2 linked regions of the Notamacropus eugenii genome follow. The protein of the gene in region 2 interacts with the protein of the main gene of each other region in a pairwise test. Links are inferred from orthologs where the notes say so. Each region holds a gene or a part of one and is shown on either strand. Other genes may lie near its edges. The genes, in order: BMAL2 and NPAS2.

Region 1 (8,313 bases), on a different chromosome or scaffold from region 2:
CCTGTGGTTTTCCCCCAGGGAATTTTTGTCGGCTAGAAAGATTCCTTACCTAACCCTCTACAGTCCAAGCACAGAAAGTAATTTCAAGCCTCCTGCTTTTTTTTTTTTAGACTTATACCAATAAGATCTTAATATCAGACTATTTAGATATAATGATAAATTTGTAGTTTGGTAGATGAGATAAATGGAAATAGATTCCTGGAATAGGAACCTGGTAATAAAGAGCTATAGATCAGAACTGCCTTAAAACATTTTTGTTTCACCCAAAATAATGAAATAGATAAGTAGAGAGAAAGTGTTAGGTTGAGGAAGACCATTAAGATAATAGGCAAAGTTCTAGTTTATTTTGAGTGTACTAGTCATGCAATGTAGGATGGGATTAGAACTGTGATTTCATTAATAAGAACTCCTGAGTGAGGAAGACCTCTCTCCCAGTGCAAGTCAGTATTTTCTTCAAAATGTATAGTTTTACACTGGTCTCGAGTCAGGAGGACTATCAGATCTGCCTTCAGACACTTACTAGTTATGTGGCCCTGGGCAAGTCATTTAATCCTAATTGCCTCCAAATTTAAAAAAAAAAAAAGGAAGGAAAGAAACCAAGAAGAAAAAGAAATGTATAGTTTTAAAGAGTTGTATAGAACACTGAGAGGCTAAGTGATTCATCCAGGGTCACCCATCTAGTGTACTGGGAATGGGACTTGAATCCAGCCAAGTTTTCTTAGATTCAAGGCTGGATTTTTGCTTCTCACGTAATATAAGAATGTATTAAATTATGTGTAGGGATCATATCTTACTTAAACCTTAGGTCTTAACTTCTCTCTACCATATTTGTTGCTGTTCAGTCCTGTTCAAGTCTTTGTGATCCCATTGGGGTTTTCTTGGCAAAGACAATCAAGTGTTTTGCCACTGTTTTCTCCAGCTCATTTTACAGATGAGGAAACTGAGGTAAACGGGGTTAAATGACTTGCCCAGAGTCACACAGTAAGTGTCTGAGGACAAATTTAAACTCAGAAACATGAATCTTCCTGATTCGAGGCCCAGCACTCTATCCACTGTGCCATATATCTTCATCAACCAAGAAAAAGCAAAACCAGAAAACCTCAGATGTCCAGTTCAGTTCTGATCCTTGTTTAAAGTTGTAAGTGTAATCTGCCAAGCCCAGAGGATCTGTTGGAATCTGCAACAGTCCCACAGAGAACAAACCAATTCTGAGTCATGCCTAACGTGAAAGACTCCAGGAAGACTGAGGAGTTACAGGGCTACTTTGGATGGCACAGAAGTTCACCACTAGATTTCCACTTAGCCCAAGCCTGTCTAAAAGGGGACTCAAGCCTATAGGCTGGCCTCAGAACTGACCTGATATCTCAGGCCCCTCCTAAATATGGATGATGAAGGGTTGAGTTGGACTTGCTCGGTCTTCTCAGAAATATAATGCCTACTGAAAACCTGTCTCCTTCTCAAGGCATACTCCAGGGTCTAGATCAGTTTAACACAAGGCTCTAGGATTCAAAGAAAAAGAAAGGGGGGAGGGGGGAGGTGTTAGGAAATGAGATGCAATCTGCCTCACTTCATTCAGTCTCTCAGAAGGTCAAACTGTCATTATTGCAGTCACCAAACTCACTGTTTATGTATGTTTATATAAAGCTAAGTCAGAAGGATCATTTTAAGCATGTCCTAACTTCACATTTAGTTCTCAACTAAACAACAATGTTTATTTATAATGAAAATAACTTAGCTAAAGGTACCTTGTCACTAAGGTTCAGTCAGGGCCATACGATTTAATCTAGAATTTCTGCTCACCTAGATTAGCATACATTGAAAGAATTCAAATGCCTCCTGGATTTGGACAAAACTGGTTACATATTTTCACAAGTCTAGACAAATATTTTATCAGGAGACCAGTCTTAACTAAAAAATAAAAAGGAGCTATAAGTTAAGTAATTGTTTATCCCAGTCTTCTGCAAAATACATGATGAGGTACATTATGATGGTGGGAATTGGAAACACTACAAGACTCCAAAGTACCACTTTGAGAATACTAAGTTTTCTCATCTCACAGTCTATTTTGGCAAATAATTGAATATATTTTTACTACATTAGGTAAAGCTTATAGAAATCTAATCACCTCTGCCCAAATATTTTTTCTGCAAACTCTCTTAAAATTCTTTTTATTTCTCTGTCACTTATCTTAAGTGGTAGATACAATGATGGTTCCATTATTTTCAATAACAGACCCAAGAGACAGACTACTATAAATAATTATAATAAATGAAAGAAAACTTTGTATAACAGAAAGTTGGTTTTTTCTGAACAACAATAAAAATCCTGTAAGCTGATGTATCAGCATTGTACCATGAGAGGCACTGTTAGAATGAGAGGTCCTGGGTTCAAATTCTGCTTGTAACTTCCAATCATTCAACCTCTCTGGGCTTCAGTTTCCTCAAATATAAATCGGGAGAAGGGATTGAATAGGTAGCGGCTGCTGCTCTAAATCTATGACCTCCCCCTTTATTACAAGGAGTGTGGGGGTGTGGGGGTGTGGGCGCGTGGGTGTGGGTGTGGATGGATGGGTGCGTTTCTTGGGGCAGGAAGAGTAGAGGGAAAGAAATAGATTTTCGTTTCTTTTAAGGAGCCTGTGAGCTACAGCTCTCCTGCCTGTTTTTCAGTCAAAGTTGGTTAGTTTCTGGAGCCAGAAAGAGAAGAGAATGCTGCCTGTTCTTCCTGTGTTCTGGAATGACAACAACAACAACAAAATTCTTTTTATGAATGATGATGGCAGGGGGCCAGAAGAAAGCAAGTAGACCATTCAAAATGACAGACAGAAAGAGGGTAGTAGGAAGGAGATCTGTGACTACAGATTTGCTCTGGAATAACGGAACGGATTTGCTTCTAGGGCTCTCCCCTCAGGGCAAGACATACACTTAAATCTGCCCAAGCGGTGCCAACACAACTTCCATCGTGCCTCCCCGGCAAGCATCCTGCCACCTGAGCCCATAGGTGTGCACATAACAAAATCAGAGCCTGCTTTCCCTTTCTGAAGGAGCTAAGTGCTCTCTCGTCAGTCGCTCACCCTCATCCGCAGCAGGTATCCCAAGGAGCGGCGTGAACAGGCAGGCTCCTTCCATTCCCATCCAGGGCAGCGGCAGCAGCGGCAGCGGGTCCCCCAGCTCGGGGTCGATGGAGGGGGCTAAGCTCCCAGACTCGCCCACCCCCCTTCCCAAGCTCGCCCCAAGCCCGCCAGGCTGTGTCACTTAGGGACTCACCTGGCGCCGCAGCCTCGGCGGGCTGGCTCCCTGCAGACTCAGTGTCTTCTCCCCCAGCCATAGCAGGGGCCGGCCGGCTGGTTCTCGAGCCCTCGGGCTGGCTGCATGGAGGGGGGCCCCAGTCCGTCCAGCACACGCCCGACGAGGCTGATCCGGCAGCGCGGCGGCTGCGGGCACACCTGCGGGGCTGCGCCAGGGATGCTCAGCGGCCACCTCTGCAGCGAGCGGCCCCTCTCCCTGCACACCAGCCGCTGGGGCGGGCAAAGCTTCAGACTCGCCTGCCGAACCTGCCGGGCTACTGAGCATGCCCGGTCGGGCTGCCCTGGCACCCGTTCAAGGCAAGCAGTGGATGCCGATTCCGCTAACCGGGTTTTCGGGGTAACTGGGAGAAATGCGAAGGAGGAGCAGAGGCTGGGCTGGGGGTAGAGGTGCCTGCGGCAGGCTCAAAGTCTTTGAAAAGGAGATCCCAGAGTCCAGGAGCTCAGGAGATAGATGGATGACAAAAGATACAGACAGATCACAGATGACTTGCGGACGAGGAAAAAGGGGGATTCCCACTGGCATCCCTGATCTCAGTATTAATGCTGCCCAAAGAGCTCCCTGAGAGGCATAGGATTTACAAACAGAAGGGACCCTAACGATCATCTAAGTCCAACCCCCGCATGTTTACGGATCGGGAAACTGAGGCCCAGAAGGGTGGAGTGACTTACCCAAAGTCTCACAGTTACTAAACAGCAGAGATGAGCCTGAAACCCAGGTCTTTTAACCCTGGGTTCCAATGTTCTTTCTACTGTGCCCTGCTCCCTCCATACAGCTGAAATTTATATCAATGTATGAGTGTTAAAATATGAAATTTTTCAAAGTGAATGCCCATCCATTGGGGAATGGCTCAACCCGTCGTCGCTCAAGATTGTAATGAAATATTACTGCTATGTGAGAAGTAATGAATATGATGAAAACAGAGGAGCACGGAAAGACTTTATACAAACCATAGTCAGGAAGTCCTGGGTTCAAATCCAGCTGCAGACGTTTACTATCTCTGTAACCCGGGGCAAGACATTTATCCTCTCTTGGTCTCAGTTTCCTTACCTATAAAGGGAATGGCCTTGGACTTGGCCACTAATGAATCTAAGTCTATGGTCCTATGATATGAAATGAAGTAAGCAGAACTGAGGAAACCATAGACACAATGACCACAACAATAGAAATGGAAAGAAATATAAGAAACAAATATTAAAAATTGAATGCTAAGAATCTGAGGCCCTTTCCCCCACACTCTTACTTTACAGAAGTGGGAGGTTATGGGTGTGAAATACTGGATAGAATGTCAGCCTTTTTTCAAAATGTGTGTTAATTTTACCGAACTTTTTTCTGCTTTTATTATTATTTTTTTAAAGTAAAGGATGGCTCTCTGAGAAGGGCGCAGGGATATATTGGGAAGGGTAGGTGAACCAAAATCAAAAGATCAAGAAAAAATTATTTTAAAATTAAAAAAAGAAAATGACATTTCTTTTTTAGTAGTTCAACCCCTCCAATACTTTGGTCTTATTTTTAAGTTTAAAAAATGTTTATTTTTACATCACCTTGATCTTCTTTCCTCCTACTCAGACAGTCCTTCCCTATGGCAAACGATAAGAAAAAAAGGGGAGGAGGGAAGCTGTTTGGCAAAATTAAACAACACATCAGTTGGTTCAGAGAATATATTCAATATTCCACAACCATACTACTCCACCTTAGCTTAAAAAGGTCAAGGTCTCCCACTGCCTACAGGGCCATCTCCAGTCTTGTTACTGGACTCAGATGGCTCTGGAGGAGAAAGTGGGGCTGGTGACTTTGCACAACCCTGCCTCACTTAAATCCTATTCACTTGTCATAGCATCACCTTCTGGATACTATGATTGTCTTCAAGAAGAATGGACAAACAACAACTCCCCCACTGCAGAAAAGAGAGAGAGAGGTTCAGAGACTGACATCACTTACTGTCTTAACTCATATGGAATCTGACATCCAAAAGTAAAGCCACAGAAGTATAATGTAAAGGGTTGAATTTTCAGAACTCCATAAAGAAGAGATAAAGGAATGAAAGAATGCTTTAGTTTGAAGATAACAAAGAATTTCAAGGGTGACACTAAGGGGACAGCAGGGACCAGGGTAGTGAAGTTGGAGTGTAAAAAGTTGAGTTTAACTTCCAGCTTACCTATTTTATATAATAATGATCTATAATTTATATTAAAATTAAGGTTACATGTTCTATAAACATACATTCTATATAATTATACAAATATATAATTACTTATTAATTGTGTGACCTTGGACTTAAACTTTTTGGGCTTAAGCCTATACCATGTATATACAGCATGATAATTGTGATACTTGTGATAATAAAAAAAATCTTTTGGGAAACTTTTCTGAATACTGATAACAGGCTGCCTCTGTTTTGGACCCATGCTCATTCCCTTTTATTTTCTGGAAAAAATCCATTTCATGTGTCTTGCTGGCCAATCCCCAGTTTCCCTTTGTATATGACTTTAAAGATGGGAAATTTATCAAACCACCTTGAGTGAAAACTTATGTTCTCCCACCCCTCAAAAATAAAGTTCCTGGACATCCTTCATTATCAAGGAGAAGAGTGATGAGAGAGTCATAGATCCTGGATATGCTACATCCTCTTCCTCCTGCTAGAGTGTGAAAACTTAAAGTGCTGGTGACCTCTCAAAGTATAGCCTTTTTTTGTTCTTGCCCTTTCAGTTTTTACCTCTCCTCCTGTGCCCCTTCTCTCCTCAGCAATATGGTTTCTTATTTTAGGTTTTGAGTTTTCCCTTGTTTGAGTTGCAACATACTGTAATAATAGCCCATGACTGCCCTTTCTTTTGTGAAGCCTGCCTTGTCTCCAAAACTGCCATTATGGACTATAATTTAATTGAATGGGTAATATATGGTTAATGTCTGCCCTGTATCACAATGTCATAAATCATAGATCATAGATTTTTAGAATTGGAAAGGAACACAGAAGCTATTGAGTCCAACTTCCTTATATTACAGAAAAAGAAACTGAGGCAGAGAGAGTTTAAGTGACTTGTCCAAGGTGTGATTATGAAAATCAAGTGATATAATATATGTGAAAATTGTTGGGAGGAGGAAAAAAGTGCTACAGAGATTTAAGGTATTTGTTTCTTCATAGTAAAACTGCAGAAAGGTTTGGTCCAAATATAAGGAAAATCAGATGATTATAAGAGATGGAGACAGAAAGGACCTGAGAGATCATCTAATCCAACCCTCTCATTTTAGAGATGAAAATACTGAGGCTCTGATCCAAGGTTGTCCACGTAGTGAGTAGAAGAGCCAAGATTCGTACCCAGGTCTTCTGATTGCAAATCAGTGTTCTTTAGACTGTACTATAAGGGTTTCCCTTGGCTTTCTCAAAGGTAAAATACTGGAGAGCAGTATGGGGTAAATGAACACTGCTCCTAGAGTCAGCTGATCCTTGGTTAAAATGGCAACTTGGATATTTGCTAGCTATGTGATCACAGGAAAGTCACAACCTCTGTAAGCCCATCTCTTTAAAATGTAGATAATCATGCTGTGTACAACTGTGTCGAACTTAAACTGCTACAAAAAGTGGGTTATTATTCCTGGTGTGACTGATAGGAATACAAGGTGTCCCAAAAGTCTTACTGCAGTTTAAAGTTTTAATCATTTAAATTGCTTTACTGAATTCAGATTCTAGGGACACACTGTATGTTATTGAACAAGCCAATCAATACTACCTTTTCTTCCCCTTGGAAAATCTTTAGTGACAGGACTGACACCTATCTCCTGGAATGTTTTATACAAAGCAGGGCATTGGGCAATGTCACCTTTAGAAATCACTTACAGCATTAAGATCCTACAATGAATTTTCTAGAGATACAATCCAAGTTTAGAATATGCTATTTCATAGTCCTTAGGTTTCCTTGGTTACAGCTTTCTTAGTTGAGGTAGTGGCAAATGAAACAACCCAGAAAAAAATTCCAAAGCCTTGTACACAAACCAGATGACATTTGATAATTATGCTTCTGTGAATCTAACCTTAATCATGGGGTTCTAAATTACCCATTATGATTGGAGAACCTACTCATTAGTCCTGAGTGTTACTTAAAAATAAGGCCATGCCAAGGGTATGACAGCTGAGGGTTCTCTCTTCCATTCTTAGAATCAAAGACCTCCACCAAAATCTAGTAAGAAGGGGATATGGGTGACAAAATGGGATGCCAGAGTTTAAGCTTTGGCAGGTTCTATCAATCTGGAAATGTTTTGAATAAGGTGCCAATGACAGACTGGATGTTTTGCAGATGAACACTGGCCTAGTCAGAGAAGGTCAGAAGGGATAGATATTGTAAGGATGGTCACCAAGTGATAAACTTTTTCAGCCACAATAACTCAAGGATATCAACTACTGAGGCAAAGGGAAGCTGTGGGTACAAGAAGTATCCACATAGATCAATCAATCAATCAACAAACATCTATTAAGTACTTACTATATGCCAGGAACTATACTAAGCCTTAGGCATACCAAGTAAATCAAAACACTTTGCAGACAGGGCCACCAAGAGTCCTTAACTTCACAGTGTCCCTCTTGCCCTCCACCCTTCTGCCAATCCCATCTCATTCTTTGACATTGCTAATAAGGAGCCCCTGGACCAAGCTATTTACAAGCTCTTTGCAGGAAAGGTTCCAAAGAGTAGAAAACTTCCATGAAGAGAACTTTACCCTGAAGTACCCTGTCCATGGCAAGTGCTGGGCCCCACACAAATGGCTCCTTGTTTTTCATTCCTACAGCTAACACTGGCTGGATGGTAAGCATGTGGTCTTTGGCTAGGTGAAAGCCATGGAGTGCTTCACATTCCACGATGTCAAGACCAGATGGCAGATCACCATTTCTGACTGTGGACAACTCTCATAAGCTTTTCAGTTTAGTTTTTTTGTCTTACCCACTAAACTATTCCTTTGTAACTGGGGAGATCACCCCTGGATGTTCTTATACCCTATAATCTTTGTGCTTCACTTAACT
Region 2 (7,946 bases):
TAGGGAGGTTTTTGCGTATTTGTTTGCATGTAGCACCTTGTTACCTGTTAATCCCTTTCTGATTACCTAGCAAGAGCTCAGTTTATGAAAGCCAAAGCTTGCTTCATCTAAGGGGGCTGAAGAACCCATTTTCCAATAAAACCTCGAATGCCCTCAGTCTTTCATGGATAAGCACAGCATAGAACTACAGGACAACTGACCAGGCTATTCAAGAAGCTGGACTCTTCAGCTCTCCAAACAACTGACAGCAGACTCAGTACCTACTCTGGGCCAAATTCTAATCTAGTAACCAAAGAGGTGTATCCAGTGGCACCAATGCCACCCTCTCCTTCCCTCCAAATGTCAGAAGGCTCTCGACCCCCTCCTCCCCACTCGTGGCGGTTCCACCAAAGGGCAAGCGCGTAAAAGCCTTAAGCAATCAATCCGGAGTTCAAAACGTACCGGAATCCGCAGGATCTGCGATCGTGGGCTTGGGTGGGGATGGCTTACAAATTCCCAAATGATGTTGCCTGGGCTAAGTTCCCCCTCAGACGCTGCCCCAAAAGTGTCTAAAACATCCCAAAGTCTCGGAGGTGCCCCATGGACTGCCTCCAGACTCTCAGGCAAACACTGAAATGCCCAGAGTTTGCAATCGCCACCTCCTTCTCCTCCTCCGGCTTTCCTGCAGAAATGGGTAACCCAGGGCCATGGGCGTGTGAATATGCATGTACCTCACAGAGATAGGGGGCCTTCCCCCAGCTCCCCTCCCCACGGCCCAGTCTGCGCGGGGGGTCCCCGCACTTGGCTGGGGGACAGCATTTCCCACCGCCTCAGGCAGCAGGTGAATGAACACACCCGCCCACGCTCACCACACACACGCACACACACACGCACACACACACACACACACGCACACACACACGCAGAGAGAGGCATGTAGTCAGTCGCGTGCCACCCAGCAGAAGCCCGAGAAAGCTTGCCTGGTCTCCCCCCATCCCCGCCCCCACACCAGCCCCGGAGCCGCACTACCTGGGCTGTTGGCGGCGGCGGCTGCGGGGCTCGGGGGGCTCCAGCGGCCGCTGCCGCTGCTGGGGGAAGCCCTGGAGCCTGGCGGGGACCGCGCTCTTCCAGCTGCCGCTGCTGCTGTCGGCCGAGGCGACCCGAGAGCTGGGGCTGCTCGGATCGGGCTGCTGGCGGCGGCTGCTCCTGCTCCTGCTCCTGCTCCTGCTTCTGCTCCCACCGTCCCCGCCGCAGTCGCGGCTCCGACCCTGGCGGTGGCTGGGACCGCTCTCCCCGCGTCTCGCACTGCCGCCGCCGCTCCAGTCCTGCGGGAGGCCGGGCTGCTCGGAAGGCAAACTCTTCCGCACACACAGCCAGCCAGGGAGGTTTCCCTCGTTAGCCGCCGCCACTGCCGCCGCCGCCACTGCCGCCGCCGCCGCCTCCTTCTCCTCTTCCTCCTCCTCCTCCTCTTCCTCCTCCTCCTTCTCCTCCTCCTTCCCGCTGCTCCTACTGCCGCCGCCGCGGTATCTCATGGTGAGAGCAGCCACCGCATCCCGGGGCTCCGGCTTCGCCTGCGCCTCGCGGACTCACACGCACACACCGCACACGCACGCACGACACGGGGGCTCCGGGACCCACGGACTGACACGCAGTCTTCTCTCCACCTGCAGCCTCGGACCCTTGCAGCCCGCGCCCCCGGCTGGGCTCCCTGAGGGCGCCTGGGGTCCCGCTGCAGCCTGGCAGCCTAGCTGGGAGGTGGGAGGTGGGAAAGCTGGCGAGGGTGGGGAGTAGGGGCTGTGGTCTGGAGGTGAATGGGCCTAGGAGAGAAGGAGCAAGAGTTCCGATCAAAGTTGGCACCCGGGGGGCACACAGGTTCCACCCTCTCCCGTTTGGCCACCCCCCTCCCACTCTCACCTGCGTGTGTGTGCGTGTGTGGATGTGTGTCGGGCCGCCCCTTCTGTTCCCCCCAACCCTGCCTTGGGGGCATGGGGCTGTGCTTTGGTGCCCTTGCACACTGGGGAGTGAATCCTCTTTAGAGAATATTAGAATACAAATGTGCTTTCCCAATTAGTTGGGGAGAGGGGCGTCAGAGGAGGAGATTGGGCATGGGGGGCAGTTGTTGGTATGGACTAGGGCTGAGGTGTGTTTGGGGGAGGTGGCGGCATTAACTGCCGCTGCTCGTTGGAAACAATCGGTTATCTCAAGGAGAATGTAGCTGGTCTGGAAAATGGGTCAGGGATGAACAGGAACATGCTAATTGCCCCTTCCCCACCCCACCCCCTCTAAAATCGGAGGTAGATTTGAGGGGGGAGGAGGAGATTGCCCAGAGGAGCACACACTCCCCCCCTCCAATTCCTCCTCCTGACTTCCCCTCCCCCCCACCCCCCGCCACCCTCCTCTCCTTTTGCACAAGTGCAGGAAATGTTCCACTGACCTACATATTTTTCCAAACATACGTGACCTTTTTTTTTTCGCTTTGTGGGAGGAGACAGGCGAGGATCCAAGAAAAGGAGAAGCTGGAGAGGGAGAGAGAGGAAAAATAAGTAGAGCAAAAACAGGGAGGGTTTCACAAAGCCTACAGCAAATATCAGTCAGGAGACAAATGTATATAAATAGTCTTAAAATAAACCAGTAGCTGCTGTTTGATAATTCCGCATGTCTCTAAAACTTAAGTCGGGCAGAGAAGGGCGACTCTAACAACTCAGGCGGTACCTTGAAAAACGGCTGGATTTTTGAGGACCTTCCCGGGCAGGACTCCTCCCCACTGCATTTAGATGCCACTGTGACAGGCTCAGCTTTAGAGCCGCCAAATGCCACTGCTTCCCATCACCCCTTACTTGGAGACAAACACCTTCCGCACAAAATAGCAGAGGAGGGGAGGATTCTTCTTCCCATAGAAAGACCACCACCCTGAATCACAGGCAGGGAGTGAGAAAATTCCAGCTTTAAAGAACAGTCAAACCCCAATCCTCCCATTCCTCCTCCCCTTTCATCAGCTCCGCACCGCTTCCCCCCCTTCCCTCAAGTCAAGCCCTTGAGCTTCTAATGTGGGGATCCACCATCCCAAAAATCCTAGTTTAGTTCTATTAAGCGGTAAGGGAGAGATGTACAGGCTGTCTTGGAGAAAGAACGCGCCCCCACCTGTCCCTTTGTCAAACCCTTTCCTTGAATTCAGCTAACTGGTAGAAAGGGCTTCCCCTAGGTGTTCCACTAGGTTTGAGGGGCTTGGGGGTTGCCCGTTCTCTTCTCCAATCTCTTTTCTCCCTCTCTACCCCCCCCCCCCCACCTCAAGTTCAAGGCTTGAGCCTCAGCAGCCCCGACATAACTAGCACCGCCTTATTTGGTCATGCAACTCCACACCGTCAATTAGATCAAAACGTTCACCGAGAGCTTTTCACACACACACACCCCTCCACCCCCCGTGTAAAGTAGGTCATTCTCTTTATTTCCCACTTGTATTATTTTTGCCTAATTCTTCTTCTGCAAAATAACCAGACGTAAGGAGGCTCGAGCATTCTAAGAGAAGCTGCTATTCTCTGGATTCCTTCTAACTTGTAGGTGCTTTTCAAGAAGAACGATGAGGCTTAGGAAATGTAACTGTTTTGAAGTCTTTTAGATTCCCAAAAGAAGGAATTTTTCCCCTCCCCCCTTACCTTTCCTTCTTTAGGTAATTATATTTCACCCTGCTTTAAATTGTAGCCATGACTAGTGTCCAAAGGATAAAGTTGTGTACTTTTAACCGGATTTAATCCAGAATTTTAAAAGCTCCTCCCTTCCTTTGGAATGGATCCCAAACCTCTTTTCCCCCATCCCGCCCCCCCCTTTGGAAATTGCTGGACAATGCTTAAATGATCCCTTGGAAAAATGAAACGCCCTGAGGCAATAATGCATCAGATACAGGAGTAATGCAATGAAAAAACATATCATTTTTCAGTATTTGCTACCCAATATAAAGTGATAAATCTTGAAGTCTTACTTTATATTTCTTGTTTTCAAGGCCATACAAATAATACTCCATGATCATGGTGAAGACATCTACATGTTTTGGGTTGTTTTGTTTTGTTTTTTCATTTACTTCTGAATCCTTCTGATTTGCCTCCTGTTTGCAGATCCTATAGGACTGACACCTTATGGAATGTGCATGGCTATAGCAGAGAGTACAGTGTGGATCTACAACAGGAGATTCATGCTAGATTAGAACATGACCCTCAGGGGAATTTTTTTTCTCCATGACCAACTGAGGAAGTGAATTTTAAGATGATGATTTATCCCTATCCTAACAGGGATATGTAAAGAGTCAGTTTAATACAATATGACAAAATACATATAGCAGATATAACATAACAAAGGTAAATCATAATTATAGCAGCTGTGCTCTTTTCAGTCTTCTAAATTTTATAAAACTTAGAATTAGTTGGGGAGAGAAATCTTTTATGTAACCTAATGATTAATTATTAAAAATAGTAGTTTCATTTGACTTTTCATCAATGAGAATTTTTGTCAGTCTCAGAGCTTTGTATGGAGGGGGTGTGCAGGAGAAATTAAAATATAGCTAACCATTTAAATTATTTTATAGATACTAGTGGGGGAATTCAATGTTTTTGCAGGCATCATTTTATATATTGTTCACCCATAGAAGCAGATTATACCCTGATTATTATTAAACATATTTATTAAGGCCCTTCTTGTATATGGGGGGACGGAGGAAGTATCAGAAACACAAGGTTTGTCTTCTAAAAACCAGTAAGCCTGGGCAAACCACTTAGCCTCTCAGTGACTCTAGTAAACTATGTAAGACTGTAAATTCCAGTTTGGGTGTTGTTCTACACTGGTAGAGGAAGTTTTCTCCCTGGGACCTATCTATACCAATAAAATCACCGGTCTGGTTTAAAAAAATGTGAATGAGAATTAGAACCTATATCAGAGAACTATATGAAATTAATGAATATTTTATGAATGACAGAACAAATGTTCCTTGAAAGCAGGTATTGTTTTACTTTTTGACTAATACAAAATTTCCTATGTCTAGCACAGTGCCTTGCGCTAATATGTGCTTAATAAATGTTTGTTGAATTGAATAACAGGCCAAAGGTTATGCACAAATAGTGGTGATGGTGAGGGAAGAGAGAATCCTGGGAAACGTATGTTTTATGGAAATATTATCTTTTTTTAAAGGGTTACTGGTTTATTGGAAAATGCTCTGGGCTGGGTGTCAGGAGACCTGAGTCTTAGTACCAACACTACAACTATCTAGCTGGACAAGAGAGTTGGGCAAGCCACTGGACCTCAGTTTCTTCATTTGGAAAATGGAGATGGGAGGCTAGAGAGATTTCAGGGGGCTCCATAATTGGATGGGAAAATTTATATCTATTTTTACTAATCTCTTGCTTCCTTCAATTATTGAAAAATATTATTCTGAGGGGAGGTTCATATACTTCAGCAGGCTACCAAAGGGGTCCACAAAAAACGGTAAAGAATTCCTGGACTAGGTTTTTTTTTTCCAAGTTCAAAAATTCGGTGATTCTAGGGTGATTAGTAATATGATGAGTGCTTCCCCCTTTTTTCATATTAACTTCCATTAGGCTGCTTGTAGACTGAACTTCAGATTATATTAAGGAAGTTTAACACACACACACACACACACACACACACACACACACGCACCCCACCCTGTCATGCATTATTAAGTAGTATAACATAATACAAGCAGAGCAAAATGTCACAACTGAAGAGTGAAAGCCCAATTAATGTAAGGGTAAAGCAGAGGTCTCAGGCCAAGCAATAGAAAATTAAATGAGTCATAAGCCGAAGCTTCTGAGAACCTCTGAGAAAAAGATCTGAGAATTGAAAACTTGCCTCTGAAAGATCAAGGTGGGTAGCATTTTAAAATTTCCATATTGCAGAAACTTCTGAACACATCAAAATAGAGTGAAATGATTCTTTAACGTCCTTGCCACAATGAGGATACAATTGTGGTAAAGGCCTTTTGCAGCCTGCCTGGGAAAGTCAAGACATGATTTTTCCTTTGTGCAGAGTAGATCATGTGATTGGCAAGCAGAAGAGTGAAGTCAGATTTCCTTTTAAACCAAGTATGGATAACTAAGAGACTGAAACCTGACCTGAAAGAAAGACTATGTTAAATTAGAGGTTATACTATAGCAGTTGATCTGTGACAAAACCTTAGCTGGTCTTAGATTTTTGATTTCAGTGCTTAGCAGTGTTTTACAAGGAAATCTCTTTGTGTCTCTGTCCGTGTGTCTGTCTGTCTCTCACACACATATTTCTCAGCAATGAAGTTGTAAGTGCTGTTATCTCTAATAACATTATTATGCATACATTGTGTGCTTATTTACCTAGTTTTTCTCTAGTTTTTTTGTTTTTCTCTAGTAGCATGTGAATTCCTTGAGGCAGCACAGTAGATAATACGATGGACTTGGAATCAGAAAGATCTGAGTTCAAATCTAGCACCAGACACTAATTTTGTGACAAGCAAATTACTTCTCCTCTGTAGCCTCAGTTTCCTCATCTGTAATATGGAGGTATTAGTAGCACCTGCCTCCCAGGTTTGTTGTGAGGATCAAATGAGATACTATTTGTCAAGTCCTTAGTACAGTGCCTGGCACATTGTAGGTACTATATAAATACTACTATCTTTGCTGTATAAATCTCTATATCTGCTGTACTATTTCTGTTATATAAATACTACTACTATACTGGATATACTGCTGCATCTGTGTGTATGTTCGTCCTTCGTTGCTGAAGAATATCATGACATCAGAGAAATGATGACATGGCTTGCACTTGACTTTGTTTTGAGTGAGGGAGGGCTGTGCAGGTCACAGCCTCACTTCTCCTCCAGAGCCATCTGGATCCAGTGACCAAATATTCATTAGGACGACTGGAGATGAGCCAGGATGAGGCAATTGGGGTTAAGTGACTTGCCCAAGGTCACACAGCTGGTGAGTGTCAAGTGTCTGAGGTGAGATTTGAATTCAGGTTCTCCTGACTCCTGCACTGGTGGTATGCCCACTGTACCATCTAGCTGCCCCTCTGTATTTCTACAACCTAACACAATGCCTGGTCCACAGTGAGAACTTAATAGTTACTTGTCAAATTGAATTGAAAGGGGGAGAATATTTTTATGTGATACTAGTCAAATATGGGAATAATCTTACACTGGTTTAGGCAGTTCCTACATAATTTTTCTCCTAATGATGAATTTTAATTTTTTATGTCCTATTCATTTCTCTTCTAAGAATTTTATTGTTATTTTTAAAATCTTTATTTAATGAACACTTGGCTAACATTATCCAGGCCAATGCACAGAATGTGTTATCATAGCATTAATTTTTTTCCTATGGGACCTTAGTTTTTAGCCATCTAAGTTAATATCTAGATGAGTAGTAGTTGGTTAAGTCACTGTACATTTTCTTTACCACACACCCCTCAAAGCATCAGGTACTAGGATTTCCTTTATTGTAAGTTTCCAAGGGGAAGCTGGATGATCACTTGTCAGAAATATTGTAGAAGGGTTTCCTGTTTGGACGAATCTGATGGTTCTTCCAATTTAAAGTCTGCAATTTCTTATTTGATTCATGGACAATTATTATTCAAATGTCTGAAAGTTAGAACTCTAAAATGGGAGAATTATAGATATACAAGGAGTAGTGGTGGCCATGGAAGATTCCTAGAAGGAAATAAAGTTGGTAATAAAATAAATAGCTTACTTTTGGGGAGTTTTACCAAAGGACCTCTTTGGGATATGTGACATCAAATATAGGAGTGTGCATTGTCAACAAGTCTAATATCACAAAGGCTAGGAAAGGATGAGTACTATTCTTGCCAGTAAAAGAAAGCTCAAGGTACAATGTTGCTCATGACCCTTGATCTTAGGATTATGGAATGAGCAGGAAAGGACCGTAGTAATGGTCAAGTTTAACCTCCTCATTTTACAGTTGAAGAAACTG

Evidence for each region.
Region 1: the proteins of NPAS2 (region 2) and BMAL2 interact in binary tests that used the Homo sapiens proteins (3 or more experiments, as listed by UniProt). The link is inferred for Notamacropus eugenii from reciprocal best matches to the Homo sapiens genes NPAS2 and BMAL2.

Annotation. Positions count from the first base shown.
Region 1 is NC_092874.1:178,211,919-178,220,231, forward strand, and holds the start of BMAL2 (basic helix-loop-helix ARNT-like protein 2), read right to left. Parts: upstream 3,540-8,313; 5' UTR 3,264-3,539; intron 1-3,263. UniProt on the Homo sapiens protein: Transcriptional activator which forms a core component of the circadian clock.
Region 2 is NC_092876.1:408,884,020-408,891,965, reverse strand, and holds the start of NPAS2 (neuronal PAS domain-containing protein 2), read right to left. Parts: upstream 3,707-7,946; 5' UTR 3,633-3,706; intron 2,868-3,632; exon of another isoform or gene 2,496-2,867; 5' UTR 2,414-2,495; intron 2,191-2,413; exon of another isoform or gene 1,894-2,190; intron 1,797-1,893; 5' UTR 1,512-1,796; coding exon 1,009-1,511; intron 950-1,008; exon of another isoform or gene 1-949. UniProt on the Homo sapiens protein: Transcriptional activator which forms a core component of the circadian clock.